Linked DNA regions of Stegostoma tigrinum. The protein of the gene in region 3 purifies or fractionates together with the protein of the main gene of each other region. This does not show direct contact. Links are inferred from orthologs where the notes say so. Each region holds a gene or a part of one and is shown on either strand. Other genes may lie near its edges. The genes, in order: ddx20, tgfbr1b and strap.

What was found.
Region 1: the proteins of strap (region 3) and ddx20 purify together in Homo sapiens (affinity purification with mass spectrometry; 3 studies listed by BioGRID and IntAct, counting the BioPlex papers as one, with this or other methods). This does not show direct contact. The link is inferred for Stegostoma tigrinum from reciprocal best matches to the Homo sapiens genes STRAP and DDX20.
Region 2: the proteins of strap (region 3) and tgfbr1b purify together in Homo sapiens (affinity purification with western blotting; 3 studies listed by BioGRID and IntAct, with this or other methods). This does not show direct contact. The link is inferred for Stegostoma tigrinum from reciprocal best matches to the Homo sapiens genes STRAP and TGFBR1.

The regions. Positions count from the first base shown.
Region 1 is NC_081374.1:5,649,089-5,659,350, reverse strand, and holds the start of ddx20 (probable ATP-dependent RNA helicase DDX20), read right to left. Parts: upstream 4,886-10,262; 5' UTR 4,808-4,885; coding exon 4,606-4,807; intron 1,767-4,605; coding exon 1,672-1,766; intron 189-1,671; coding exon 20-188; intron 1-19.
Region 2 is NC_081358.1:11,704,658-11,715,886, reverse strand, and holds the start of tgfbr1b (TGF-beta receptor type-1b), read left to right. Parts: upstream 1-6,479; 5' UTR 6,480-6,575; coding exon 6,576-6,654; intron 6,655-11,229. UniProt on the Homo sapiens protein: Transmembrane serine/threonine kinase forming with the TGF-beta type II serine/threonine kinase receptor, TGFBR2, the non-promiscuous receptor for the TGF-beta cytokines TGFB1, TGFB2 and TGFB3.
Region 3 is NC_081378.1:42,720,114-42,730,737, reverse strand, and holds the start of strap (serine-threonine kinase receptor-associated protein), read right to left. Parts: upstream 5,167-10,624; 5' UTR 5,052-5,166; intron 4,953-5,051; exon of another isoform or gene 4,823-4,952; intron 1-4,822. UniProt on the Homo sapiens protein: The SMN complex catalyzes the assembly of small nuclear ribonucleoproteins (snRNPs), the building blocks of the spliceosome, and thereby plays an important role in the splicing of cellular pre-mRNAs.

The DNA.
Region 1 (10,262 bases), on a different chromosome or scaffold from region 3:
TGTTCTAGAATTCTCTCACCTGGAGATCCTACTGCGATATGGCATTTCTTCAGCCGCATTTTGTCTAGGTTCAGTGGGGTCCCTCCAATGAAGACGTGACATTCCAGGCCCTCCATTTTAATGCCAATTGCTGTAATAACTGAGTGGATTTGGACTGCAATTTCCCTGGTAGGTGCCAGAACGAGAACCTGCAAGCAACAAGGAAAGAATGGGCCATCAATCCAAATTACAGTGAAAGTATATTGTGATTAGAGAACACCACAGCATCAGCAAAGTAATCAATTTGTTGCTGGGGATGGAAGAAAAATGGGATGGAAAGATGTGTTACCGAGACAGAGAACAAAGAATACTTTTCTAAAAATTAACTGCTTTCTTCTGGCCATTCTGGCCAATAGTTATTCATCAACTAGTCATCAAGCTATTATAGAGTCACAGAACTGTACAGTCATACAGCACAGAAAGAGACCCTTCAGCCCAACTCATCCCTGTCAACCAGTTTCCTAAACTGAACTAGTCCCATTTGCCTGCATTTGGCCTAGATCGCTCTAAACCTTTTCTATCTATGTATCTGTCCAAATGTCTTTTAAGTGTTGTAATTGTATCCACTTTACCACATCCTTTAGCTGCTCGCTCCATACACGCAGCACCCTGTGTGGAGAGAGTTGCCGCTCAGGTCCCTTTTAAACTTTTCCCCTCTCACCTTAGATCTATGCCTCTAGTTTTGGGCTCCCCTATCCTGGGCAATAGACTTTGGCTATTCACCTTATCTATTCCCCTCATGATTTTATAAACTTCTATTAAGGTCACCCCTCGGTCTCTTCCTCTCCAGGGAAAAAAGTCCCAACTATCCAGCCTCCCCTTATAATTCAAACCCTCCAATCTCAATAATATTCTTGTCAATCTTTTTTTACATCCTTTCCAGTTTAATAACATCTTTCCTATAGCAGGGCAACCAGAACTGTATACAATACTGCAAATACAGCCTAGCAAGTGTCTTGTACAGCCGTAACATGATGTCCCAACTCCTAAACTCAATGCTCTGGCAGATGAAGGCAAGCATGCCAAATGCTTTCTTTGTGAGATTATGTGGGGCACAAACTGGCTAGAGTTGCCAGTGTTTTTAGTAGTAGCTACAGTTCAAAAGTGCACCATTGATTGTAAAACATTTGAGAGTGTGTTTCAACCACGAAACGTGCTATGTAAATACAAGATCTCAACTCCTACTTCCACAGAAATACTTATAATGTGAGCAAACATTGCCCTAGGTAATCTGTGTCCAAACATGCAATCCCGCTTCCCATGCATTCAAGCTTTTAAAACTGGGAGATGCGGAGAAATATCTGTTGCCCAGTTTTCAACACTCTGAAAGCTCGAGCAGAAACTGTCAGAGATTGCTTGGAACACTACTGCACTGGGCTCAGTGTTTTTCCCGATTACACACAACTGGGCAAGTTTCTATGGCGAGAGTGTACAAAAAGAAGTTAACTATAGTTCACCGCGGTTGTTTGCTGGTAACTGCTTGCCGAAAAAGAGGCATGCTGTCAAAGCTTTTTGTCTCGCTCCCATCAGGACAGGCAGAAGAATTCCAAATTCCAAAGGGAACAACAATTTACACAGCACAAGAAAAGGGCAATATGCAAAGTTCGGAACAACCTCTGCATAAATGCTAACCTGTGTTGCTGGATTCTCTAGGATAACGGAGTCCAATGCAATTGTAGCAAATACACATGTTTTCCCTGTACCGGATTTAGCTTGCACAATCAGATCTGAAAGAGACACATAGCTTTGTAAAGAAAAATCACATGCTGAATTTTCAAGCTTAAGATGTGACCCATTGCAGCACTTAATGATGTCATGAAGCACGTCCAGACTTCTGGTGCCTAAGTATCGTAATCAAACTGATTAGCTGCACATAGTACAATATCCTTGATTATTTTAAATTGCTCCCACTACCACCACCGGCGACGACAGCCCAGTAATCACCAGCACTTCATTGTTAATTACCCCATTTAAAACAACACAGATTCGGAAAGACAGAAAATGAATTTATTTTGTAGCATTTCTTTTGGGGAGCAACTGACGAGAACAGAAACGTTTTATTGAAATCCAGCAGTGACCAGGGGGGATAAAACCAATCACATCAAGTTACACTATATCGCTGTCTTATGTTGAGAAAAGATTCTTGTGTCAATATTTCATTTATCAAACTCACATCAGAATATTTTATGGTGTTCAAACTTAGGGGCGCAGATAACTCTGACAAAAATTGCCTCAGTTACACAGCAGCTATTGGTTACCACAGAGTCATAAAGATGTACAGCATGGACACAGACCCTTTGGTCCAACTCGTCCGTACCTACCAGATTAATCTAGCCCCATTTCCCAGCATTTGGCCCATATTCCTCTAAACCCTGCCTTTTAAATGGTTCGAAGGTAGGAGACAGAGGGTGGTGGAGGACAGTTGCTTTTCAGACCGGAGGTCTGTGATCAGCTGTATGCCACAAGGATCAGTGCTGGGTCCACTGTTTTCCATCATTTATATACATGATTTGGATGTGAACATAGGAGGTATGGTTAGTAAGTTTACAGATCACACCAAAATTGGAGGTGTGATGGACGGCAAAGGAGGTTACCTCAGAGTGCAACAGGATCTGGATCTGATGAGCCGAGGAGTGGCAGATGGAGTTTAATTTAGATAAGCGAGAGGTGCTGTATATTCAAAAGGATATTCAATCAGGCAGGATTTACGCACGTCATGGTAAGGTCTTCGGAAATATGACTGTACAAAGAGACCTTGGAGTGTAGGTTCACAGTCCCTTGAAAGTGGAGTCGTAGGTGGATAGGGTAGTGAAGAAAGTAGAGAAGAACTTTGGTACGCTTGCCTTATTGGTCAATGCATTGAGTATAGGAGTTGGGAGGTCATGTTGCAGTTGTACAGAACATTGGTGAGGCCACTTTTGGAAAACAGAATTCAATTCTGGTCGCCCTACTATAGGAAAGATGTGGAGAAGCTTGAAAGGGTTCAGACAAGTTTTACAAGAATGTTGCCAGGGTTGTAGGTTTGAGCTGTAGAGAGGCTGGAGCTATTTCCCTGGAGTGTCAGAGGCTGGGGGAGGGGGGTGACCTTATCGAGGTTTATAAAATCATGAGGGGCATGAATAGGTGATTAGTCAAGGTCTTTTCCCCAGGGGAGGCGAGTCCAAGACTAGAGGGCATAGGTTTAAGGTGAGAAGGGATAGATTTAACTTTGCCCCTTACGTCTCTTTTTTCTCACAGAGAGGATGGTGTGTGTATGGAATAAAATGCCAGAGGAAGTGGTAGAGGTTGGCACAATTACAACATTTAAAAGGCATCTGAATTGGTACATGAGTACAAAGGGTTTAGAGGGATATAGGCCAAATGCTGGCAAATGGGACTAGATTAATTTAGTATATCTGGTCGGCATGGACAAGTTAGGCCAAAGGGTGTCTTTCCATGCACTAGAGTTGTGTGGCTCTAAGTTTTGTAATTGTACCAGCCTCCAAAATTTCCTCTAGCAGCTCATTCCACACACGCAGTACCCTCTGCATCTTCAGAAAACCTCCCAAAGCCAGCAACTTCTCAACAAGGCAAATGGTACAGGGGAAGCTCTCCTCCAATCCCACATTCCTATCACATTGCAGATTTCGATCAGTGTTCAAACAGCTCATGCCCCTAAATTCACTGAAGGAACACCTTTTACTCAAAGACTCAACAAGTGGAAAAAGCGCACCTCTTCCCATCCCCAATTTCCTCAAACCACTTACATTCTGAAACACAATTTCACAATCTAAACTCCATACTCACCTTTATAACCCTCGCTGCCACATCCCCCTCCTGTATGCCAACCCATCATACCCCCTTACTGGTTATAATCACTCCTCTCTCCCCCCCCCCCATCAACCCTCTCTCCTCCTCTCACTCATCCCCACCACACATCCCCTCATTCTACCATCCCAACTCCCTCATTCTCTACCAACACCTCATTCACCAACCCCCTCCCTCTCTCCTCCCATGCCTCACTGATTCCATTTGTGCTCCCCATCCTCAATCTTCCCCCTACTCTGCTCCCAACCCTCCCGATCCCTCAATCTCCCTCTCCTTCTCCCCAACTCCCACACCTCACCCTACACTCCCTATTTTCTCACTCTCCCCCTCCTCCCATCACTGTGACCCTTACCTACATGCCAACTCATACACCCACCTTCCCTCCCTCCCTCTACCCATTCCCCCCCACACACCCCCCCTTGCTCCCCTCCCTCTACCCACTGCACCTCCCACACACCACCTCCCACCCCCAAACCATCCCTCAAACCCAAACCAACCCCTACTCCCCCCACACCACCCCCATACCTCACAACCCATCTCCCATCTCCCACCCCCCTCACCCCCAAACCCCCACCCCACACCCTCTCCCTCAAACCCACTCTCTCACCCCCAAGGCACCTCCACGCCCCTCCCTCACCCCCAAGGCACCTCCACGCCCCTCCCTCACCCCCCCAAGCCCCCTCCCCGCCCCTCCCTCACCCCCCCAAGCCCCCTCCCCGCCCCTCCCTCACTCCCAAACCCCGCCCCCGGCTCCCTCACCGAGCCCACACCGCCCTAGCGGGATGGCCTTCAGTTGGATGGGGGAAGGCCTCTCGAACCCGGCCTCCCTCAGCCCCTCCAGAACGGGCTGCGTCAGGAGCAAAGCGGCGAAATCCACTTGCTCGCCCGGAGCCAGCAGCACATCCCCAGTACGAGGCCGCCGGTCAATGCTATGGGCCGTACGACGGCCAGTGAGCGCCATCCTTCCCACCCCGTCAGCGTCAGGCAGGGCCCCGGCTTGGGCCTGGAACTGGGAGTGAGAGCCCCGCCCCTGCCGGCCACGGGCCACGCCCCCTAGATACGTGCCCCGCCCTGGAGACGGCCCGTTGGAGACAGGTCACGCCTCTGGCGATAGGTCCCGCCCCTTGGAGACCGGTCCCGCCCCTTGGAGACTGGTCCCTGCCCCTGGAGATAGGTCCCGCCCTTGGTGACAGGTCCCGCCCCTAAAATGCCTATAGGTGTGAGGCTGGAAAAGCACAGTGTCAGGCAGCATCAGAGCAGCAGGAAAGTCATTGAATGTTTCAGGTTGAAACCCTTTGCCAGGACTGGGGATGGGGGGTGTGGGCTGTCAGGATGGTGATAGGTGGATACAGGTAGGGTGCAGTTGTGGTTGGTCCATGGGAAGGGTGGAGTGGATAGGTAAGTAGGAAGATGGACACGTTAGGTCAGGTGGGGAGGGAGAGGGATGGACATAGGATGAGGCTGGGGGTGGAGTGTCCCGATCCCACAGAGATTCACCTGCACTACGTCCAACCTGATCTGTTGCACCTGTTGCTCCCAATGTAGTCTCCTCTATATCGGGGAGAACAAACACAGAGTTTGCGAAGCATCTGCGCTCTGCACGCACTAACCAACCCGACCTTTTGGTTACCATCCTATTTAATTCCCCCTCTCACTCCTCTGGCAACATGTCCATCCTTGGCCTCCTCCACTGAAGGGTGACGCCAAATGTAAGTTGGAGGAACACCACCTGATATTTTGCTTTGGGGGCTCACAGCCTAATGGCCTCAACATTGACTTCACCAGCTTCAAAATCCCTCCACCCCAGCCTTATCCCATGTCCATCCCTCTCCCTGCCCAACCCCTGTCGTGACCTAATCTGTCCATCTTGAAGGGTCTAGGCCCGAAACGTCAGGTTTTGTGCTCCTAGGATGCTGCTTGGCCTGTTGTGTTCATCCACCCCCACACTTTGTTGTCCTACTCACCTATCTGCTCCACACTTCCCACAGACCACTCACAATAACCCCCTACGTGAATCCTTCTTTCACCAACCCATCTACCCTCCCCATAGCCCCAACTCCCTCCCTCTATTTCTGGACTCCCCTACCACTCCCCAGCCCTGACAAAGAGTTTTGACCCAAAACGTTGACTTTCTTACTGCTCAGATGCTGTCTGACTTTCTGTGCTTTCCAGCCTCACACCTATAGGGTCTGGCTTCCAACATTTGCAGTCCTTATTATCTCCTAGAAACAGTCCCTGTCCCCTGGAAACAGGCCTGCCTACAGGTACTGGTCCAACTTCCCAGGGACAAGTTTCTGAAGAAGGGTCCCGACCTGAAACATCAGCTTTCCTGCTCCTCTGATGCTGCCTGGCCTACCGTGTTCCTCCAGCTCCACATTGTGTTTCCTCTGCCCCCATGTAGGCTAGCTTCATCCCTGCAAATAGACTCTGCCAACTAGATACAGATCCTACCTCCGAACAGGACACACCCCAAGGTGTTTTTTTCGCCCTTGGTGCTAACCAAACCGCCTGGATTGAGCCCCTTTGCTAAACCCTCCCACAGAAGACATTTGATAAAGTGCCATTTGATAGGCTACCTCATGAGATATAGCCCACAGTGTTGGTGGTCATATAAACAGAGGATTGGTTAACAAATAGATAATAGAGAGTTGGGATTTTCAGGATTGCAACCTGTAAATAGCAGAGTGCCACAGGGATCAGTTCTCAGGCCATAATTAATTACAATAGACATAACATTGACTTAGATGAGGAACCTAATAGGATTAGAGTTTGCCGTTGACACAAAAGCAGGTGAGAGGGCAAGGGGTGAGGATGACGCAGGGAGCCTGCAGAAAGATAGAGACAGATTCAACAAGTGAACAAAACCTGGCAGATGCAATATAATACAAGAGGTGACACACTTTGGCATGAAGGTTAGAGGAACTGAATACTATCTAAATGGAGGAAAGATGGCAGAAAGCTACATCCGTAAAGGTCTGGGTGTTCTTGTACGTAAGTCACAAAAAAACTAGCATCCAAGTTCAGCAGGTAACAGGGAAGGTAAGTGGAATGTTTGCCTTTATTTCAAAATGGAAAGGAGTACAAAAATAAGGAAGCCTTGCTAAAACAATAAAAGGCACCAGCCAGATCACAGCTGGAACACTGTGAACAAATTTAGTCCCCTTATTGAAGCAAAGATATATTGACATTGGAGGGAGTGCACCAGGTTGATGGAGGGATTTTGTTATGAAGAGATTTTCATAAAATCACAGAATTGCAATGGCACAGAAAGAAACCATTCCGTTTACTACGCCTGCAATATCATCAACGCCTAGAGCCATTGCTTTATCCCCACAACCTTACACATTATTTTTATCCAAATAGCCATCTAATGTCCTCTTCAATACTTTAATTGAACTGGCCTCTATCACATTTCCCTGAAGTGCATCCCCAACCTGAATCACTTGCCGTGTGAAAACATTTTTCCTCACATTTCCCTAGCTCCTTTTGTAGGGTGGCACCATGGCTCAGTGGTTTGTGCTGCTGCTTCACAGCACCAGGGACTCGGGTTTAATCCCACCTTTGGGTGACTATTTGTGTGACACATTCTCCCCGTGCCTGTGTGGGTTTCCTGCGGGTGCTCCGGTCTCCTCCCACAGTGCATAGATGTGCAAGTTGTGTGGATTAGCCATCAGAAATGCAGAGTTACAGGGACAGGGTAGCGGGTGGGTTTGGGTTGGATGGGCAGCATGGACACAATGAGCTGAATGGCCTGCTTCCACGTTGTAGGGATTCTATGAAAGTCAGATCAGTCGCTGAGAAATTGGCATGAAAAACATGGTGGCATGTTCCATTGAGCTAAATTTGTTGGAAGGATTGTAATTGCCCCTCTGTTGGCCTCGCTGCAGCCTACTGAGTATTACATACAAAACTCACACTATGATGGCTCTTCCTGCTGGCTAGGATCCTGTCAGCACTCAGACAATCTCTTGCCCCAGTATCCAACCGGTTAGTTTTGTTTAAACAAGTGGCCAGTGCCCAATGTTTGAGCCTGCACTGCCAGAAGATATATTCTGCTGCTATATCTTACAATCATGCAACACCAGGTTATAGTCCAACAGGTTTATTTTGTTCACAAGCTTTCAGAGCCTCAGTCCACCTTTGGGTGTTAATGAGGGAGGGAGTATCAGGCACAGAATTTATAAATAAAAGATCAAAGGGTCACACCACTGATGAGGATGTACTAACACACAACACACACATTCACACACACTCACACACACACACACACACACACGCACATACACACACACACACACACACACACACATACACACACACACGCTCACACACACAGACACACACACATACACAGACAGACACACACACACACATACACACACATATACACACACACGCACACGCACACACATACACACACACACACACGCACACGCGCACACATACACACACACACACACACACACACACACAGACACACGCACGCACACATACACATACACACACACACACGCACACGCACACGCGCACACATACACATACACACACACGCACACCCATGCGCGTGCGTGCACACACACACATACACACACGCGCGCACGCACACACACACACGCATACGTGAATCTATGGGATGAATTTATATTTGCAGATACATTTTATTTTTGTTCAAAAAGCATACAATTTATAGTTAGACAGTCAATGTGGTGTTTTATAAATTCCTACTTTAGAAATAAAACCAGTCTGACTCCAACTAAAACACAAACAGATTCTAAACAAGTTCTCACACCTAACATGCATTGTCTGAAAATCTAAATCATTGTCTAAAATGTCACAACTTCTTTACACTGATAAAGCCTTTTTATCTCTTTGGACTGTGACTTGAAAGGAATTCAGGCATTTACATATATATATTATTCAATTAAAGACTTCTAACTGATTAAAGATTTAACAGCATGCTAGTTTTGTTTAGTACATCCTCATCAGTGGTGTGAACTTTTGATCTTTTGCTTATAAATTCTGATACTACCTCTCTCACTAGCACCTGAAGGAGGACTGAGAGTCTTAGAAGAACGAGATTCTTAGAGAGGTTGGCAGCAAAGATGCTGAGAGCTTAATCTCCTTGGGGGAAAGTCTAGGACCAGAGGGGAACATTTCAGAGTCAAGGCCACCTCAAGAAGAAGAACAATTTCTTCTCTCAGACAGTAGTAAGTCTGTAGAATTCTTGACTGCTGAGGGGTGTCGAGGCTGGGTTATTAAGTATGTTCAAGACTAATGTATTTAATCAGGAGGGGTATCAAGGGTTATGGTGAAAGTGCGGGTAAGTGGAATTGAGGATTATCAGATCAACAATGATCTCATGAAAGTAGTCTCGTTGGGCTGAATGACCTATTTCTGCTGTTATAACTTACAACCTTTTAGACTTATGTGGGCAATTGTCCATATTGTTGAGTAGATGCCAGTGTGTAATAGTACTGGAGGTACGTTACAACAGATACATCCAGTTCTGGAATGCAAGTATATTTTTTCTGGAATGTTGTGAGGGTCTATTGCCTTTGCAGTATCCAGTCCCCTCACCTGTTTCATAATATCACAAGGAGTGAATTGAATTGACTGAAGATTGACATCTGACATTTTTGCATCTCTAGAGGAGGCCAAGATGGATTATCTACTTGGCACCTCTGGCTGAAAATGTATGCAGATGCTTCAGGCTCATCATTTGTATTGATGCGCTGTTCTTCCCAGCATTAAGGATCAGAATATTTGTGATACCTCATTCTCGATTGAGTTCTTTATTTAATTGTCCACCACAATGACTGGATAGGTAGGATTGCGGCGTTTAGATCTAATCTATTGGTTGAGGGGCTGTTTGGAATTAGCACTTGTGGCTTCCTTTGTTTGTTGTGTAGGGTGGCACAGTGGTTAACACTGCTGCCTCACAGCGCCAGGGACTTGGGTTCGATTCTAGCATTGGGTGACTGTCTGTGTGGAGTCTGCACATTCTCCCAGCATCCAGCTCCACACTTTGTTATCTCGGATTCTCCAGCATCTGCAGTTTCCTCCAGGTGCTCTGGTTTCCTCCCACAGTCCAAAGATGTGCAGTTTAGGGTGGATTGGCCGTGCTAAATTGCCCCATAGCGTCCACGGATGTGTAGGCTGGGTAAATTGACCATACTAAATGCAGGGTTACAGAGGTAGGTCTGGGTGGGATGCTCTCTAGAGGGTTGGTGCAGACTCAATGGACTGAATGGCCTCTATCTGCTCTGTAGGGATTCTATAATGTACCTAGTTCTGCGTGGTAGCTCACCAGGTTGACACATCAGTTTTAGATACGGATAGTGCTCTTTCTGACAGGTCATCATTGAACAATAACCACCTTGTGAAAGTACATTATTGGCTACAATGTGCCCTGGGAT
Region 2 (11,229 bases), on a different chromosome or scaffold from region 3:
TGCAGGGGTTTGGGCATTTTGTGTAGCCTGTCCCCTTTCCAATGTGGAAGTGGTTGTCAATTTCATTAATTTGCTTGTACACTGGCCATGATGAGGCATCTGGCAGAAAATGTCAATGCTTTCATTGCTGCACAAATAGAAGCCAATCAACATGGGTGCAGCTACGGAAGCTCAGACTGAAGTCACGCACTGTACCTTGCTGCCACATGGGCCTCAAAGTGCTGTCCTAATAGATGAAAAAACTACTGTTCAAAGGGACAGCAGATCGGCAATACATCCTTCAACAAATTACTAGATTTCTAATGCCTCCTCCATGCAGCACACTCTGCTGTTCCCTCTCAGCAATTATTCTACTGCCATTTCCACTTGAAGCTAGGAACTATGTATTCAGGGACATGTGACATTTCAATAGGCCAGGCAAGAAGGAAAGGGCGCTAGGATAGCTTTGTTGCTTCAGGATAGAACAAGTACAATAACAAGAAATAACCTCAGGTCAGAAAATGTAGAATCCACATGAAGTCAAAGAAAAAATGGTAAGGAAGACATTGGTAGCTGTTGTCTAAAGGCCCCCTGGGAGTAGCTATACATTGGGATGGGAAATAAATCAGAAAATAATAAAGGCACGTGGAAAAGGCAGTACATTAATCATGGGGGACTTTAATCTTCATGTAAATTGGAATAGTCAAATGGCAGACACAAAACCACGAGGAACAGACATTCAGGACTGTTTCCTAGAGCAATATGTTGTAGATCCTGCCAGGGATCAGGCTGTTCTGTATCCAGTGATGTGTATTGAGCCAGGTTTAATAACTTATGTCAGATCAAAAGATCCACTATAAAACAGCCATTGTAACATGGTGGAACTTAGCATTCATTTTGAGAACTTAGGAACTTAGTTGTGGTTGGTTGGCTGACCGAGTTGGCTTGTTGTTCTGCAGACGTTTCGTTACCATGATGGGTAACATCATCAGTGTAGCTCCCAATGAAGCGCTGGTGTGTTTTTCTGCCTGTGTTTAAACTCTGGAGTCCGTTGAGCTGGATTACCCCACTTCCAGTTTCCCTACACAATGGATTGTATATGGGGTCTAGCTGTATGTGTTTATTGATGGCTTTCTAAGTGGAGAAGCAGGCTTCTAAGAATTCCCATGTTTCTCTCTGTTTTGTCTGTCCCAGGATCCTGGTGTTGTCCTAGTCAACTTGGTGATTTTCCTTATCCATGCGGATGGCGATGAGTGAGTATTGGTCACGTCTTTTTGTTGCCAGTTGATGTTTGTGCACCTTTGTGGTTAATTTCCTTCCTGTTTGTCCGATGTAATGTTTGTCATAGTCTCTGCAGGGGATCTTGTCTATGACATTGGTCCTGTCCATCGTGGGAAGTGGGTCTTTGGTTCGGGTGAGCAGTTGGTGTAGGGTTGATGTGGGTTTGCCACTCTGATGCCCAGTGGTTGTAGGAGTCTTGTGGTTCGTTCCAATGTGTTCCTGATGTAAGGTAGCTTGGTGAGTGTGTCGGGGTGTGAGGTATGTTCCTGATGTCGTTCGTGTAATAGGCATCTTCTGGCCCAGTTTTTCAGGTATCCATTGTATCTGATTACCTGGAAGCGGTATTCTTCTTCTTCTTGGTGTAGTTCTGTGCTGCTGAAATGTGTTGTTGCCCGTCCAAATAATGCTGTCACGCAACTTCATTTGTGTGTGTTAAGGCGGTTGCTGCACCACATGGATAAGGAAAACCACCAATTCGGCTGGGACAACACCAGGATCCTGAGACAGCCGAAGCAGAGGCAAGCACGGGATTCCCTAGAAGCCTGGTTCTCTATTAAGAAAGCCATCAATAAACACATAGAGCTAGACCCCATATACATTCTCTGTGAAGGGAAACCGGAAGTGAGGTCATCCAATTCAATGGACTCCAGAGTTTAAAAACCAGGCAGGAAAACACAATGGTACTTCATCGGAGGCTGCACTGAGCGTGTTACCCAGCATGGTAACGAAACATCTGCAGAACAACAAACCAGCTCGGTGAGCCAACCAACTACAGCATCCACAAACCGAGCTATAAATCTACTCCAAAACATTAGGAAATTAGGTTAGAACAACTGAGCTAAGCCTAAGTGAGGGTACTAATAAAGGAATGAGGGCAAGGTTGACTGTAGTGGACTGAGAAACTGGTTTAGCCAAGATGGTTGAGGAATAGTGACAGATGTCTCAGAAAATAGCTCATGGCTCACAGCAAAGATATATTTTAGTGAGGAAGAAGGATTCTAAGAAGGGACATAGACAATCATGGTTAACCATGGAGGGTGAAAGAGAAGGAAATATAATGCGACAAAGTAAGCCAGAAGTTTGCTAAAACTTTTAAAATCACTAAGACCCTGTTACCCATGTTTCAGGGATCTTGAATAGCTCTGGCACCTGGGAGTAACAAGGGACATATGAATGATGAGAATTCCACGGAAACTGAGCACAACATGTGGAAGATATGTTTCAGATGATTGCATACCCCTTCCCTTTTCTGTTGAGAAACTGTGCAGGCTGGTCCCAGAGAAAACTGATCACCACATGCATGCAGTCAGCAATCCCCAGAATCTGTGGGAAGCCCACAATTGTCCCAAAACCAATGGATTATATGGTCTGGCTCTCTGGCCTTTTTAAAAACTGCATTTATCAACTCTTTGATGCAGTGATGAGCTGCTGCCTGTGAGATGCCACATCTGTCCCCTGTGGAGCCTGGAATGTGCTAATGTTGGAGAGGTTTAATGCTGCAGCAACTTTTAAAGCCACAGGCGTTGCGCTTTTTCCCAGTTCAGGGACCTCAGTCTTAATGGTATGTTAATTATATTGATAAAACATGCAGTTTAATTGATTACTTAGTGCACTTATAGGGTTTAATTTAGTATAATTGATTGCACTTAAAAATATAAAAATAAACTGCCCGAGCCAAACACTGGGCACACTGTGGTGTGATCTCCGTCTGAAAGCTAAAGATGATCGGGTCATGAGTTCAAAGTGAGAGGAGGAAAGTTTAAGGGTGATATGCGTGGAAAGTTCTTTACACAGAGGGTGGTGGGTGCCTGGAATGTGTTGCCACCGGAGGTGGTAGACGCAGACACAATAGTGTCTTTTAAGATGTATCTGGACAGGTACATGGATGGGTGGGGAGCAAAGGGATACAGACACTTAGAAAATAGATGACAGGTTTAGACAGAGGATCTTGATCGGTGCAGGCTTAGAGGGCCGAAGGGCCTGTTCCTGTGCTGTAGGTTTCTTTGTTCTTTGATTCTGCTGGGAGTTCTTCCCTTTATCATCCACGATGTAGTTTGAAGATATTGTATGCAGCAGTCCTATACAATTCAAGATTGAGGGAGGTCACAGATTGAGTATGGTTTCTGTGACCTTGAAGAGTCCTGTTCCCTGTTTACACGGGGTCTGCGAGGATGTGTACAGTCCTTTCTTCATTCCCTCAGGCTGCGCATCAACTGAGCTTGCGTTCAGCCCACATTGCTGCACTTTTGTCACTCAGCTGACTGAGGAAGTTGGAGGACTTCCTCTGGGTCTGGTCCTGGGAATGGCCAATGTGACAATGAAGAGGGTGAGGCAGTGAGCTGTGAAAGGGGTTGTTAGGTCTGAATGTCTACCTCTTGTCTGTAGTTGTGTCTGCACTCAAGTGTCTCTGAAAAAGGAGCATGTGGTGTCCACTGCACAGTTGTATCCTCAACTGGTGATCAGGCTTGTACCTGGTAACTTATCTGGGTCAGATTCATCCTCACCCCATTGAAGTTGGTTCTCCTCCAAGTAATTATTTTGATTAAGATTTTGCTTAGATATTATTTAGTTCTCAGTGGAGAAACAAAAAAAACCTGTTGAGTAAAAACCACCTAGCTTATTGCTCTGTGATAATGGGAACTGCAGATGCTGGAGAATCCAAGATAACAAAGTGTGAAGCTGGATGAACACAGCAGGCCAAGCAGCATCTCAGGAGCACAAAAGCTGATGTTTCGAGCCTAGACCCTTCATCAGAGAGGGGGATGGGGAGAGGGTTCTGAAATAAATAGGGAGAGAGGCGGGAGGTGGACCGAAGATGGAGAGAAAAGAAGATAGGTGGAGAGGAGAGTATAGGTGGGGAGGTAGGGAGGGGATAGGTCAGTCCAGGGAAGATGGACAGGTCAAGGAGGTGGGATGAGGTTAGTAGGTAGGAAATGGAGGTGCGGCTTGAGGTGGGAGGAAGGCATCGGTGAGAGAAAAGAAAGAAAGAAAGAAAGAAACGTACAGCACAGGAACAGGCCCTTCGGCCCTCCAAGCCTGTGCCGATCAAGATCCTCTGTCTAAGCCTATCATCTACTTTCTAAGGGTCTGTGTCCATTTGCTCCCTGCCCATCCATGTACCTGTCCAAATATATCTTAAAAGACGCTAACGTGTCTGCGTCTACCACCTCCGCTGGCAACGCATTCAGGCACCCACCACCCTCTGTGTAAAGAACTTTCCACGCATATGGAAGAACAGGTTAGGGAGGCGGAGACAGGCTGGGCTGGTTTTGGGATTCAGTCGGGGGAGGGAATGAGCTGGGCTGGTTTTGAGGAGGTGTATTCTAGGTAGCTGTGGGAGTCGGTGGGCTTGAAATGGACATCAGTTACAAGCTGGTTACCTGAGATGGAGACTGAGAAGTCCAGGAAGGTGAGGGATGTGCTGGAGATGGTCCAGGTGAACTTGAGGTTGGGGTGGAAGGTGTTGGTGAAGCAGATGAACTGTATTGGCGCCGCCTCTTGCTCCCAGAGGAGCTCGAACAGTTCAATTGCAGAACACCTCCGCTCGGTTCGCAATAAGCAACTGCACCTCCCAGTCGCGAACCATTTTAGCTCCCACTCCCATTCTTTAGGTGACATGTCCATCATGGGCCTCCTGCAGTGCCACAATGATGTCACCCAAAGGTTGCAGGAACAGCAACTCATATTCCGCTTGGGAACCCTGCAGCCCAATGGTATCAATGTGAACTTCACCAGCTTCAAAATCTCCCCTCCCCCCCACTGCATCCCAAAACCAGCCCAGCCTGTCTCTGCCTCCCTAACCTGTTCTTTCTCTCACCTACCCCTACTCCCACCTCAAGCCGCACCTCCATTTCCTACCTACTAACCTCAGCCCCCCTCCTTGATCTGTTTGTCTTCCCTGGACTGACCTATCCCCTCCCTACCTCCCCACCAATACTCTCCTCTCCACCTATCTTCTTTTCTCTCCATCTTTGGTCCGCCTCCCCCTCTCTCCCTATTTATTCCAGTTCCCTCTCCCCATCCCCCTCTCTGGTGAAGGGTCTAGGCCCGAAACGTCAGCTTTTGTGCTCCTGAGATGCTGCTTCGCCTGCTGTGTTCATCCAGCTTCACACTTTATTATCTTGGATTCTCCAGCATCTGCAGTTCCCATTATCAGTGAACAGTATGTATTTGATTGTATTAGTATTGAAACGTCTTCCAGTTTCTCTTCAAAACGACTGTCCCATTTCACACTGGCTGCTCGACAAGTGTATTTCAGAAACAGGAGAGAGATCAGCCTTTCCTCAACAGTTTTTTTAAAAGGTAGTACTCTATCATTTGTTGCACATTGCTGTAATTTAGTTGCAAATTTGTTCCTCTACATACCTCCATCCAGTTGATGGTTTGGTGAGAGGAAACTAAATTATACATTTTGTTTTCTTCCTTCGTTCCAGTCAGGTAGATTTGGTCCTTGGCCCCTCTGGGACATGTATCTCCAACAATACAAATTTTACCTTGATAGTACTACCCTCCCACTTTCCTTTCTCAACACCCTGTTCTCAGGATGCTCTGATTTCAGCACCCGCTGTGTTTGGTTTTGGTTCGAATCCTGAGAACTGGGAAGAAGTTGGAAAACATTTGTAATGAGGTTTAGAGCAAGTTGTGAGGGAAGGAAGGGACAAAAGGAATATTGGCACAAGGCAAAAGGAGTTGAGGATGGGAGGATAGAGAAACCAGGGCTGGATATATTCCATTGGCTCCTTCAGAATGACATTGCAGACAAAAGGAGGTGGGGACCGGGGGTTGGCCAATTGAAAAACGCCTATCACAGAGGCCAGGGCAATTGTGACCGATCTACCTATCACAGGCTACTTCTCATTCTGTTCCTAAATGCACTGACGGCGACCAATGAATGAGGTTCGGAGCCGAATCGATAACCTAACAGCAAGTTTCATCGCAGGATGCGCGGCAGTAACCAATCAAAAGGAACCCTTCGGGTCTTTCCGGCAGTCATCCAATGAAAAGGCGCACTCCCGCGGCTCCTCCAATAGGAGAGCATCCAGACGGACAGCCTGTCGGCAGGCGGGCGCGAGGGAGCACGTTGCGATTGGGAGAGACTCGGCCAATGACGATCCACGTCGCACGGGGGCAGGCCAGGAGCCACTCACCCGGCCCGTCTTATGATGGCGTGCAGTATGTGGGGGGAGGTGTCGCTGAGGCAGCCAATGGGAGGGCCTGTGTCATACGGCCGTCGCAGTAGTGGTAGCGGCGGCGGGGCTTACTCTGTCTGGAAAGTCGCGGCTGTGTTAGGGGGCGGACGGAGCGGCTTTGCAGCCATGGCGAGAGCCGGAGCCTCTCATCGCGCGGTGCTCGGTTGCCTGCTTTTGCTTTTGATCGGTGCCTCCGGAGCGCTGGGTGAGTGATGGTCGGGGCGTGGGGGGGGGAGAAGCAGGTTGCTCGTTCGGCTGCTTTCCGAAGGGGTGTGCGGGGGGTGGTATTGTTCACCAGAGGCCCGGGGATGGGGAGGGGGTGGAAAACCTGGGGACTAGGAGCGGCCTAGTGAAGGGACAGTGATGGGGCTCTCTCTTCCCAACTACCACAGCCGGGGGGGGGGGGGGGGAGATGCCGACCAGGGCCTTATCGTGCTGTCCCTGAGAGGAGCAGCGGCCGACCCTAGCCTGGCCTGGCCCGGCCCGGGTGGCGGGAGGAGGAGGAAGGGCCAGTGGGGTCTCACGCCCGGATGTGGTTGCCATGGTGGATGCCAGGGCTCGCAGAGCTGACCACTCGCTCCAAGAAAGACAGCCCGGAAACCCAAACACCTTCCCCGGGGCAAAGAGGGACCCCCCTCCCTCCCCACCACCAAACACCCTCTTCCCCCCAACTCCACACAGCTCCTGGAGTTTGGGAGCGGCTGGGAGAAGCTGGTTCAGACGAAGTGCAATCTTTTACAATCCTCACTCAATTGCCATCTGATTTTTCTTTTAAAAGATGTGCAGCAGGGAAGATACGTTGCTTACGTTTGCTTTGGACTTTTTTTTAAGACAAAGTCCTTTCCAGTAGTTGCACATGTTCCTGTAGTTTAGGGTAAACAACTTGACAAGAACTCTGCAGGATGTAAGTCGTATGTCGACATCTTCGGAAATGTGAAGCCAGTCTTGCGAAATCATACGTTTGATTGAAAATATCTTTTAAGACAAAATGACAATGTGATGGATCAATTTTAAAAATAAATTATCTTCTCGAACGTTTGGGAGACTAGTTTTCACTAACTGGATCCACTTCTGAAGTGTTGCTCACTGCATCGCTATGTTTTTTCCCTGGTGCCGCAAAATAATTGAACGACTTGCAGTGATGTTTAACGTGGCGAAGTCCTGTGGTGCTTTGTGAATGGGTATAATGCCTAAGAAAATTGTGAAGTAGTTTTGGAATGTTTAAATCTGATAAATCGCAGTGTATGTATTGACAAAAATCTTGTTTATGCATTAGCCTATTAAATCAAGTTCCAATAGCTTCGTATTTGGGAGCCACCTGCCAATGTTTACAATTGTTAGATCTAGTTTTCTGTGCTGGAGGGAGTATCTGAAACTCCAAGGTATAAGCAGGATTAACAAGTGTGTTGTCAGTCTGCAGAAGTCAAAACCAGTAGTGTGGATGCTAAATCCTTTAGATCTGAATTTTCTAAAACCAATATAAAAGCTTTTGAAGGCAATTAACCATCATTAACAGTTATTTGACTGGGAGTGTTTGTGTTCCACCCTAGAATTGACATTCTTGCAACTAAAGTTACTGGCATAAAAGCTGCTGATAATGCTTAGGAACATCTTTTTACTGTGCATTACTTTCATGCACACTTGTATTTCTTTAAGAATCCTTCCACCTCACTAATCCCTAGATGTGCAAGGAAGTGACTAAAGGTTAAACCCCCTTCCAGATTCTTTCCATTCCTGTAAAAACTGTGCAACAACCACAATTTGCTTCACTGTTGATTATTGTTTTTCTGCATTAGCTGTGAAATGGAAATGTAGATGTGTTTGAAGTGTCTAGCAAATGCACCACAACATTGACTTGATGGAAATGAATATATGTTTATTGATATTTCAAGACATTTACCTCAGTTTCACTTGTTTCAAGCCAATAATCTGCAGTTGTTTGGATTTCAATGAGTTTGTAGTTTTGTTGTCAAATTACATTTCAGACAGTAGAGCAGTGAAAATAAATCACCATTTTTAAAGCAGTTTCTGTTTTTTTTTTCTTGAAAGTATGCGTTATCCCAACAAGAATGGCAACATTTGCAGCGAAACAGAGTTAATGTGTTGAATCCAATGTGATTGATTTTGAGGAATGGTCACTTTGGACTTGAAACGTTAACTCCACAGATGCTGCCAGACCTGGTGATTTTTCTGCAGCATACTGTGTTTCAGGTTTCCTGCATCCACAAAATTTTTGTTTTTAATTTAGAATCAAAGGTGACTGTTAAAACCACAGTTACATATTGCATTTTGTACGCAGTGTTTAGTGTTCAGTGTTGAGGTTGTGCACTATACTAGGTAGAAGTGTGGATATGATATTGAAGTGGAGATGTTGTGTCTGGCCCTAGGTACGATCTGTTCAAGCTGAGCTTTGTGTAGGAAAAGAGATTGTTAGGAGATATGGGAAATTGTGAACTTTGAAGGAAACTAATTAGAATTGAAGGGGAAACATGTAGTTAGCTTGTAAATTATAAGTGGCAGAGAGATCTGAAATAGAAGAAATTGTATAAACCTCCAACCAGAAGTAGCCCATAGCTTAGGAAATGGACGCAAACAGCTAGTCAGCAGACAGGGTGTGGTGAAATGTCAGACAGGTCCTGTTTTCTAGACTTTCTGCTTGATTAGATAAGTGCTGCTTTCATCATATCCTAATATGGTACTTTTGATTTCAACATCCACACATGTGGATCAATCTGTTTGCACTAACACCTGTGAGATAATTCATTTTGTCCATGCTGTATAATGTAGTGTGTGTCATTTGGGAACAAAATGTCTTAGATGTCAAAATAGCTTTGCTTAAGAACAGCGATGGAACCCTGGTGAAGTGTTTTAACAGGTCACTCAGATCTATTGCTATTAGCTGGCTCCATGCTCTTTGGGTGCAGATAAAGCCCCCCAGCCTGTTGAGAATTGAGAAGGTTGTTGGCTCAATGCTGCTGGGCAGTTGGCTTTGCAAGTCCTGGGGTATTAATGAGCTTAGTGGATTTGATAAGAAGCTGCCTGCTAGTGACCTGGTTATGTAAATAAGCAGCCATAGCCTGCGAGTAAGACTGGCATTTCCCAATTCCCAACATTGGGATTCTGCTGGAAAGTGAGCAATCATCAAGGTAGTTGTAATTGTGTGGTTTTTGAGGTGAATTGGTGGCTAGATCTTAGAAAGAGAAGAACTGAAATCTCTTGAGTGGGTAGAGTTTAAAGGAGTTTTGAGAGTCTTGGTTGTGATTTTAATTTTTAAATATGGAGGGCAGCTGGTGGTTAAATGCTTAGGTGTATGGATTTTTTTGGAGGTTTTTGCACTCTTCTAATGCCTTCATTTAATGTCTGCAAGTTCATGATCCTTTTCTATACCCTTTAGTCTAGATCCTTTTCTGAAGAATGGTCTAGACCTGAAACGTCAGCTTTCCTGCTCCTCTGATGCTGCTTGACCTGCTGTGTTCATCCAGCTGTAAACCTTGTTATCTCAGATTTTCCAGCTACTAACTCTGTAACAATGATATCTCTTGATGCGTTTAGTTTTACTCATTATTTTGCTTGGTCACAAGCTAGGCACTTGCAAGAATAAGTAGTAATGTTGAACCTTTTCAGAGATACTTGGCATCCTTAAAGGGCTTCTGCTGTTCTCCTGGAAATCTCTGACTGCATCTGACTTCTGAGTAACAAAATTGCTTTTGGAACCTGGTGTTAGGCATGTGCGCTGGCTTTGAGTGTGTATGTCTTGTCACTGGGCAAGTTGCTTGGAACAAGTCATTGTTGGAATGTGCCTTGCACCTAGATGTGGAGGATCTTGCAAAGTGATTATTGGTTGTACTTTTGTAGTGCTTTGAGGTGCCTGCTGCAGATTACTTGCTTTGCAGACTTGGGCAAAAGTCTGGGAATCACTACTATCTGCTAAACTCTGACCTTCGTCTTGGGTCTGAGATCCTTGTGCTTAAATGCTCTTTTTTTCCCTTCTGTCAAACAAAGGCAGAGCTGTTTGCATTGTAAATGATGATGAATTTCATTGTGTGTCTGCTTTCTTCGGGATGTGTCTCCCAAGATATGGAAAATGATCTGTATTTTCCAGGATTTCTCTCCTGATATTAACTGACGTGGAGAGGTGTTATGGTGTGGGAACCAGTTGGAAGGGGGCCTTTTTTTGAGTGTTTAGAGAGGCCCATTTTTATCATGGGAGTCAATAGTAGCCTGGAGCTCAGTTTCTGAGTGAGTGCACACATAGGTGTCATCTGCATACTGCTGCGACTGAGATTGGAGCAGTTTTGGTTTGAATTGAGGATGGGATGTGAACAAGTTCCCATTTGTTTTGGAGGTTAGCTCTGCCGGGAATTCGCCGGAGTTGAGGTGCAGTATTGCAGTGAGAAAAGTGGACAGAAGGCTTGGTACAGTTAGAGTCTTTGACATCTGTCCGCACCAAAAAGTCATCTGGGAATGTATGCATACGGGCTTTTTGTGTTATCATGAAGGTGGGTGTGGGGTTTAAAAAGTCAATCTGACTCTGACTTCATCCTTCTCCCCTGTAACTATCTGAAGCAGAACCAGGCATCTGCAATCTTTGTGACCTATTTGACTGAGATAAGCCTCCATTTGTTCAGCTATGATAGGCTATTTTGACTGTCACAACAGAAACCACCTCCACTGCCTCAGTTTGCCTGTTTTTAAAAAAAACTTCTTCCATGCCTCTTGAGATAGTAAGAACTGCATATGCTGTTGTCAGAGATAAGTGTGGAGCGGGAGGAACATAGCA
Region 3 (10,624 bases):
CACTCCTTCCTTTCCTCACCCCTTTTCCTGGCATCTTGCTCCCCTCCGTACTCAATATTTCCCCTCCTTTCCCCAAGGTCTTACTTTCTCCTTCACCTTCTATTTCCTTCCGACGTTCTTGCTGTCTTTCTCACCACTGCCTTTCCTCATGTCTCACTCTTTCTCCCTATAATTCCCCTTTCCCCAGGGTTGCGCACGCTTCCTTGTTCCCTCCCATCAACCCCAGCAGCCCTCCTTACCCAAAGTTTGGTTCTATTCCTCGCCTCTTGCCCCAGGTCTCACTCAATCCCCACCGCATACGTAGAGAGATTGGATCAGTTAGGACTCCATTCACTGGAGATTAGAACATTGATGGGGTATTTCATAGAAATCCACACAATTCTAACAGGGCTAAATACACATCCCCAATGACCAAGAAGTCCAGAACTGGAGTCACAGTTGGCTATTTACAAATGGAGATGAATATAAAAACAAGCAGGAGATAATACAAACTGCAGATGCTGGAGAATCTGCAATAACAAGGTGTAGAGCTGGATGAAAACAGCAGGTCAAACAACAGAGGAGCAGGAAGGCTGATGTTTCGGGTCGAGGCCCTAGGCCCGAAACATCAGCCTTTCTGCTCTTCTGATGCTGCTTCGCCTGCTGTTTTCATCCAGTTCTACACCTTGTTATCTAAGAAGCAGGAGGAGGCAATTTTCCTCCTCAAGCCATTTGAAATCGCAGTTGATCTCATTACAGCCTCAACTCTAAGTTTCCTGCTCACTCTCCATAACCTTCCACCCACTACTAGTTAAAAATATACAGAGCTACTCAATATCCCATCAACCACCAAACTCTTGGGTAGTGTATGCCACTGATTCACTATGCTTTGAGAGAAGTAACTTTTCATTTGTTTTAAATCTTCTACCCCTTCCTTATCCTAGAACTGTGACCTCTTGTTATAAACTGCTTCCGACGAGTAAACATCCTTCCTACAAATACTTTGTCAATCTCATTCAGCACCTTGCATACGTCAATTTGATCTCCTGTTATTCTTCTAAACTCCAGGGAATACAGGACTAAATTGTTCAATCTCTCTTCTTTCATTCATTCAGGGAATGAGGGCGTCACTGACCAGGTTGCATTTATTGCCCATCCATAATTGCCCAGAGGCCAGTTCAGAGACAACAACTTGGCTGTGGGTCTGGAGTCACATGTAGGCCAGACCAGGTAAGAATGGCAGTTTCCTTCCTTAAAGGACATTAGTGAACCGGATGGGTTTTTCCACCAATGGATTCATGGTCATCATTAGATTCTTAATTCAGGATATTTTGCTGACTTCAAATTCCATCATCGCCATGGCGGGATTCAAACCAGTGTCCCCAGAACTTTATTTGGGTCTCTGCATTAACAGTCCAGCGCTAACATCACTAGGTCATCTGCCTCATCATAAGACAAACCCTCATCTCTGGAAACAATCTAGCCAACCTCCTCCAAACTTTATCACCCCCAGCCTCAAGTAAGGAGACAAAAATTGTATGCACTTAAAAGTATTGCCATCTCACTAAGATGTCATACAATTGCAGAAACACTCCCTGACATTTATGCTTTATTCTTTCAGCAATAAGTGCCAAAATTCTATTTGTCTCCTTTTTAACCTGCTGTACTTACATACCAGTTTTCTGCAATTCACAAACAAAGATGCCCAGATCCCTTTGCATTGATAGGTTGTCTTTCTATTCCTCTGACCAAAAAGGATAGCCTTGTATTTATCCACATGAAATTACATCTGCCAAATTTTGGCCCATTCACCTCAAATAACCATATCCATTTGTAAATTTTTTATTTCTTCATTGTAGCTTACTATCTTACCTGCTTTACTGCCATCTGCAAAGTTTAGCCATAGTACTTTCTATCCCCACATCCCTGTCTTTAATATAGCTTGTAAATAGTTGGGCCTAAAGATCTCTGGCACCCCATTGGTTACATCTTGCCAATCAGAAGATGACCCATTTATTCCAAGATAATATAATGTGAGGCTGGATGAACACAGCAGGCCAAGCAGCATCTCAGGAGCACAAAAGCTGACGTTTTGGGCCTAGACCCTTCATCAGAGAGGGGGATGGGGGTGAGGGTTCTGGAATAAATAGGGAGAGAGGGGGAGGTGGACCAAAGATGGACAGAAAAGAAGATAGGTGGAGAGGAGAGTATAGGTGGGGAGGTAGGGAGGGGATAGGTCAGTCCAGGGAAGACGGACAGGTCAAAGAGGTGGGATGAGGGTAGTAGGTAGGAGATGGAGGTGCGGCTTGGGGTGGGAGGAAGGGATGGGTGAGAGGAAGAACAGGTTAGGGAAGCAGAGACAGGTTGGACTGGTTTTGGGATGCAGTGGGTGGAGGGGAAGAGCTGGGCTGGTTGTGTGGTGCAGGGGGCGAGGGGGCGAGGGGGCAAACTGGGCTGGTTTTGGGATGCAGTGGGGGAGGGGAGATTTTGAAGCTGGTGAAGTCCACATTGATACCATTGGGCTGCAGGGTTCCCAAGCGGAATATGAGTTGCTGTTCCTGCAACCTTCGGGTGGCATCATTGTGGCACTGCAGGAGGACCATGATGGACATATCATCTAAAGAATGGGAGGGGGAGTGGAAATCGTTTGCGACTGGGAGGTGCAGTTGTTTATTGCGAACCGAGCGGAGGTGTTTTGCAAAGCGGTCCCCAAGCCTCCGCTTGGTTTCCCCAATGTAGAGGATGCCAAACCAGGTACAATGAATGCAGTATACCACATTGGCAGATGTGCAGGTGAACCTCTGCTTAATATGGAAAGTCATCTTGGGGCGTGGGGGTGGGGGAGCAAGTGTAGCACTTCCTGCATTGCAGGGGAAGGAGCCAGGTGTGGTGGGGTTGGAGGGCAGTGTGGAGCGAACAAGGGAGTCACGGAGACAGTGGTCTCTCTGGAAAGCAGACAAGGGTGGGGATGGAAAAATGTCTTGGGTGGTGGGGTCGGATTGTAGATGGCAGAAGTGTCGGAGGATGATGCGTTGTATCCAGAGGTTGGGGGGGTGGTATGTGAGAACGAGGGGGATCCTTTTTGGGCGGTTGTGGCGTGGGCGGGGTGTGAGGGATGTGTTGCGGGAAATGTGGGAGATGCAGTCAAGGGTGTTGTAGACCACTGTGGGGGGGAAAGTTGCGGTCCTTGAAGAACTTGGACATCTGGGATGTGCGCGAGTGGAATGCCTCATCAGGGGAGCAGATGCGGCGGAGACGGAGGAATTGGGAATAGGGGATGGAACTTTTGCAGGAGGGTGGGTAGGAGGAGGTGTATTCTAAGTAGCTGTGGGATTCGGTGGGCTTGAAATGGACATCAGTTTCAAGCTGGTTGCCTGAGATAGAGACAGAGGTTCAACTCTGCTTACTGCTGTTAACCAATCCTCTATACAAACAAATAAATTACCCTTAACCCATGTGAACTCAGCTTGCATATTATTATGCTTTTACGCAACACCTTATCAAATGTCTTCTGGAAGTCTAGACATAGTACTACGAGAACAAGGAGTAGAGCTGGATGAACACAGCAGGCCAAGCAGCATCATAGGAGCAGGAAAGCTGATGTTTCAGGCCTAGACCCGCATCCAGCTCCACACCTTGTATTTCTCAGATTCTCCAGCATCTGCAGTTCCTACTATCTCAAACAATTTTAATCGCACTGCGAAGCCTCTTCTTAGGATGCCTACTCCGAAGAAGTTACCTTTCTCCCTCCGGAAAAACCTCAGTGGGGGTCTCTCCCAAAGCAAATCCTCTCCACCATCCATCTTCTAACCACCTCCCTTTCTCTCCCTACTTATTTCAGAACCCCCTTCCCCCTCCCCTTATCCACACTACTTGTTACATCTTCAAATAATTCTAGCAATTAGTCAAACATGATTTATTTTGACTTAAAATTCCTCTCATTACTTTCTTAACAACAGATTCTAAAATAAGGAGTAATTTCTCCAGCTAGACAGTGGCAAACCTGTAGAATTTTTTTGCCACAAAGTGGTTGAGGCCAAAACATTGAACATTTTAAGGACTTAGATAGTTCTTAGGCCTAAAGTGATCAAAGGACATAGGAAGAAAGCAAATAGAGTACTTTCACCTGGAAATTCTCACCATCCCCTGATGGTTTTTACATTTTTACCTGGTGTTTATTACCCAATACTTTTATTTGATCGTTTTTAACCCAGTCCTCAAATGTTATAAACCAGTTGTTTCATATCCAGTCCCTGACGTTTCATCATTTTAAGTTGGTTTTCTCCCCTCTGGAATTTTAAACCATTTACTCAGTGTTTTCAACCTGTGTTTCTTACTTGGTATTTTCACACTTTTACCAGGTCCCCTTTTAATTGGTGCTTCTTTCTTATTCCCCTGGTATTTTTACTCCTTTATTGTGGTTCTTACTTATCTCCCAGAATTTACCTGGCGTGCCTTACCCTTCCATATCTTACCAGTATTTTCCTGGTGCACGTGCCTGGTATACATCCAGTCTCCCTCCTAGAGTGGCTCACCAATTTTTTTTCTCCAGTGCATCTCAGTAATGTGCATTCCTGCTGTCTCACTTGTAAGTCTTACTGATGTGTTTTCACAATGGTGTGCCTTACCAGTATTTTCCTAGGGTGCGTTTCTAGTTCCCCTGGTGTACCTTACTGTCACAATTAACAACGGTGAGTGTTGGCAGTGTGTTATTCCAAGTAGTGTTCCCGGTCCTCTTCCCCAACCAACCCTGCCCCAAGTTATTTCTGGCGCCATATTTTACTGGTATGGTTTCCTAGTACCCCCTGGTGTGTCTTATCAGTGTCTTCCTGGTATATCTTACTGGTATATTCTCGGTATTGTTCCAGGTCCCACCAATGGAGCGTCTCAGCGTGTGTTCCTGGTCCCCTGTGTATCTTACTGTATTCCCAGGTGTTGATCACACTTTTCCCGGTGCGTCACTCCAGGTGGGCCATTCCCAGTGGTGCTTCCACCTCACCCCAAACTGTGTTTTACTACTGGGTGTCCGCCGTGCTGCTGTCGGTCTGCTATCCCCTTCCCGGCCCCCTTACCGGTCCGTTAATCCCGGTGTCGCGTGTTCCCAGTCCGGTCTGGGCTGGTTCCCTCTCCCGAACCTCCAGACTCCCCGTTAGCTGTAGCGGAAGTGACGCCAAACGCCACGCGTGGCGGCTCGTGGGAAACGCAGCGGTCGCACATGCGCAGTTTCATTGACTGGGCTCCATTCATAAATTTCGTCCAATTCCCAATGTGCAAACTATCATTCGCCTTTCGAGTAAAGGATCAGGCCATTCAGCCCATCCATATCTGTACCAACCAAGTAGAACTCCGTACAATATTCTACTAAATACCCTCAAACATTATCTTGTTTACGTTTGCCAGGCAAAAAAGAAACTTTTTTTTGATAGAATTATCATTTTTCGCTGTCTTTAAGATGACTGGCCAAACCATTTTGGGGTCTTAAGTGCCTATAAAAAAATTCTATGCCATTGTTCAAAAGTGAGAAAAGGTGTTCTCTTTATGTCAATATACTCCTGCACTCCCACCTGTGACTGTAATTACAGTCATTGAGCTGCACATCACGGAAACAGACCCGTCAGTCCAACTTGTCCATGCCAACCACATATCCGAAATAAATCTAGTTTCGTTTGCTAATATTTGCCCCATATCCCTCTAATCCCACCCTATTTTATAGCCAACCATCCAGATGCCTTTCTAATATTGTAATTGTACCAGCCTCCATCACTTTCTCTGACAGCTCATTCCATACACACACCGCCCTCTGTGTGAAAAGGTTGCCCTGTAGGTCCCTTTTGAATCTTCCCCTGCTCACCTCAAATCTATGCCCTCTAGTTTTGGACTCCTCCAATCCCTTGCCCTTCCCCTCAGGGGTCAAGGCCTTGTCTATCCACCCTGTACATGCCCCTCATGACTTTATAAACCTCTATAAGTTCGCCCCTCAGCCTCTGATGCTCCAGGGAAAATAGCCTCAGTCTATTCAGCCTCTCCCTATAGCTCAAACCCTCCAACCCTGGTAACATCCTTGTAAATCTTTTCTGAACCCTTTCAAGTTTCACAAAATCCTTCCTACAGCAGGGAGACCAGAATTGTACACAGCATTCCAGAAGTGTTCTAACCAATGTCCTGTGCAGCCGCAACATGACCTCCCAACTCCTATACTCAATGCACGAACCAATAAAGGCAAGTATACCAAACGCCTTCTTCACTATCCTGTCTACCTGTGACTCCACTTTCAAGAAACTATGAACCTGCATTCCAAGGTCTCTATTCAGCAACACTCCCCAGGACATTACTCTCAAGTGTGTAAGTCCTGCCCTGATTGCCTTTCCAAAATGCAGCACCTCACATTTATCTAAATTAAACTTCATCTGCAATTCCTCACCCATTGGACCATCTGATCAAGATCCCATTGTACTCTGAGGTAACCTTCTTTGCTGTTTACTTCACCTCCAATTTTGGTGTCATCTGAAAACTTACTAACCATACCTATGTTTTGAAAGGTGCTTCATTAACTGTGGAACACTGTCACATATATGAGGACATGCTGCAACTGGGTGTCAACCATTTACAGTCTAGGTCAAAATATACTGAGTTCAAGCTCCACTCCAAAGACTTGAGCACAGATTCTACTCTTTTAAATTAAAAGTAAAACTCACTCAACATTGTTCCCACCAAGCACCCGCAGGACATGGGGTTTGCTACTGAATAAGCCTACCTCTACTTTTCTAGACTAGAAGTAAGCAAAAATAAAGTTCACTGGACTTTTTTAAACTGACAGCAATGCCCCCATCAAACACTCCCAGGACAGGGATAGCACTGAGCAAAGCTCTCTCCACACTTTTCAAAACAGGACATCAAAATTAAAAATGAAACATTGTTGAAATAAAACACAAATTTAACAGTTGAACAGAATCTTATATAACAGATTAATATATAATATAGAATCTTACCAAACTAAATTAACGTTGTCCAGTCTGATGACGCACCCTAGCCTATGTGTTGCCCATAGGTCTCCAAAGGACTCAAATGTTCCTGTGAGCACTGCAGGCTCCATCCCCAGGGACAGCCGAGCACAGATGTAAGTGTGAAAGAGGGGCCAACAGTTGGGAACACTGCCTGAACCTGCTGATGGCCACTTTGGCCAGGCCCAGAATCAGACCCTCCAGAAGGACCTCTGACATGTCCACCCCTCCCTGCACTGGGTGGATTCCACGCTGATACTCCGGTATAATGCTTAAGGAGACGCTGTCTTTCAGATCAGAGGTGAAGTCTGCCCACTCTTATGGTTGTAATGTAACTATGGGCAATTAAATCAAGCTATAACATTCTCCCTGAACTTCTGGCCCAATTTTTCAAACATCATTACAAAAACATCATGATGTCATTGTGACAATGCTGATTCTGGAACCTCGATTGGAGCAAATTGACTGCTATAATTCCCACAAAGGAACAATGATCAATCTTTAAAAATAAATATTTGGTGATGAAATGTTTTCACATATCCTAAAGTCATTAATGCATTCCAGATAAAAAGACGTGGACATGGAAAAAGAGCTGCTTTAAAAACTATTGTTTGGAACAGTTCTGAAAAGCATGTAACCTGATGCTCACATTTGGCATCATTCACACATCTGTCTAAACAAGCAATAATTGCAAACCTGTCGTCATGGAGCCATACAGCATGGAAACAGACCATTCAGTCCAACAAGTACATGCTGACTGTAAACCCAAACTATCCTAGTCCCATCTGCCTGTGTTTGGCCCATATCTCTCCAAACATTTCTTATTCATGAACTTATCTAAAGTCTTTTAAACATTGTAACTGCACCTGCATCCATCACTTCCTTTGGAAGCTCGCTGTACACACAAACCACTCTGCTCCTCAAGTCTGTTTTAAACCATTCTCCTCTCACTTTAAAAACATGCTCGCTAATATTGAAGCCCCCACCCTAGGGAAAAGACACCTGCCTTTCACGTTATCTATACCCGTCACGATTTTATAAGCCTCTAAATGAGATCACCCCTGAATCTCTCAAGTTCCAATGAAAAAATCTCAGCCTGTCCAGGTTCCCCATATAATTCAAACCCTCCATTCCTGGCGACATCCTGGTAAATCTTTTCTGAGACCTGTCCAGTTTAATAACACATCCTTCCTATAACAGGGGGACCAGAACTGCACACAGTACTCCTAAAGAGGTCTCACCAATGTCCTGAACAACCTCCACATGACCTCCAAACTCCGATGCTTAAAGGTACAGAGGGAATGTAATAATGCAGCTCTTGCTGGCAACAAGAAGTTAATTGGTCTATGGACCAGTTGTCAATGACAGAGACATTTTTGCCTGCCAACAGCATTATGATTGCTTTACAGATAACTGAACTGCTTGGAGCTAGGACTAAGTTACAGATGGAGAGAAGTTTTCCGTTCTTCCACAGCCCAGGAGCAGTGTTCTTGTTCTCTGAAGTCAAAACTCCATATAAACCTGAAGTAAACCAGAACTGATAGCAGCCAGGTATCAGGTAAAATCAGGTAAAAGTGGTATTTACACTGAAGACAACAGAGTAGATGAGGAGGTATTGTTGGGAGGTGGTGGGGGAGAGGCGAGTGGATAGCTGAAGATGGAATCCAAAGAGAGAGAGATTTGAAAGGGCTAGGTAGGAGAGGGGGTTATTGATAATAGGCCAGGACACCAGGGAAGATGATTAAGTGGTAATGAGAGCAGAGAGTAGGTAATAATGGGTAGGCTGTGCTGAAAGCAAATCATTTCATGTGATAATAGGACTAAGAGTGGGTGAGAATGTGTTGGCTGCGCATGTCATGACAGAACCAGGATGTGGAGGTGGGTGTAAAAAATGTGGAAAGATGGAGTCAGGCTCCAAAGTTATTGAACTCCCTTGACTGCCTTGTCCACTCCACACTCCCCACTAGCTACACCACATCTGGCACTTTTCCCTGCAACCGCCGGAATTGCTACATCTCCCCCTACACCTCCCTCCTCACCCCCATCCCAGGCCCCAAGAAGACCTTCCACATCAAACAGATGTTCACCTGCACATCTGCTAACAAGGTATATTGTATCCACTGTTCCTGATGAGGTCTCCTCTACATCGGGGAAACTAAATGGAGGCTTGGAGATTGCTTTGCAGAACACCTACTCTTGGTTCGTGACAAATGATTGCACCTCCCAGTTGTGAAGCATTTCAACTCCCCCTCCCATTCCTTGGACAACATGTCCATCCTGGCCCTCCTGCAGTGCCACAACATTCCCAACCGAAGGTTGCACGAACAGCACCCCAAACTCCGCTTGGGAACCCTGTAGCCCAATGGCATTGTGGACTTCACAAGTTTCAAAATCACCCCTCCCCCTACTGCATCCCAAATCTAGCCAAACCTGTCCCCACCTCCCTAACCTGCCTGTCCTTTCTCCTACCTATCCGCTCCTCCCACCTCAATCCCTACCCTCACCTCCTAATTACCAGCGTCATCCCTGCCTCCTTGACCTGTCCAACTTCCCTGGACTGACCAAATCCAACCCTAATTCCCCACCTACACTCACCTTTACTGGCTCCTTCCTCACTTCTTTGATCGATACATTTCCTCTCCACCTATCTTTTCCTTTATACATCTTCCATCCACCTCCCCCCCGCTCCCTGTTTATTTCAGAATCCCCTACCCTTTCCACATTTCTGAAGAAGGTCCAGACCCGAAACATCAGCTTTCTTGGTCCTCTGATGCTGCTTGGCCTGCTGTATTCACCCAGCTCTACACATTATTATCTCTATTGAACACAATGTTGAGTCTCAAGAGTCTGCAAGGTATTTGGAGACAACTACATTTTCAGTCTTAGATAACAAAGTGTGAAGCTGGATGAACACAGCAGACCTCTGATGAAGGGTCTAGGCCCGAAACGTCAGCTTTTGCGCTCCTGAGATGCTGCTTGGCCTGCTGTATTCATCCAGCTCCACACTTTGTTATCTTGGATTCTCCAGCATCTGCAGTTCCCATTATCACTGATACATTTTCAGTCTTGCTGCTCTCTATATATTATGTTACACTGTCTGTTTATCTGTTGTGTGTATGTGTGTAATGTGGAGTTTATAAGGGGATTAAAGTTTTAATTAGAGTATTAAATGTTGATATAACATTTTTGCTTGTAGCTAGAGTCAAATTACTTTTGGTAAATAGTGATTCATGTTCAATAGAGAAACCTCATCCATGTTTTTTATCAAACTGGGTCTGAAAGTCAGGTAAATCAGAGAATTTTGTGTACTTCTGTAGCATCTTTAACTTTTGTGACAACTCCTAGAATAGCAGTTTTTGGGGTGCTAACCTGTGATCAAATACAAAACTTTTATTTAACTTACTCATTTAACTGTGAAAGTTCACCAACAACCAGGAATTGTCCTGCAGTTTGTGATTAATGTTCAGAACGGTAAGTCATTTTCTTGTAGCCATTTTAAAAAAAATTCATAAAGCATCATGAGAAAGGCCAAAAACATAGTTAACATTTCGGGTCCAGTGAACCTTCCTCAGAATGTTCTGAGGAAGGGTCAATGGACCCGAAACATTAACTCTTTTTTTCTTCACAGATGCTGCCAGACCTGC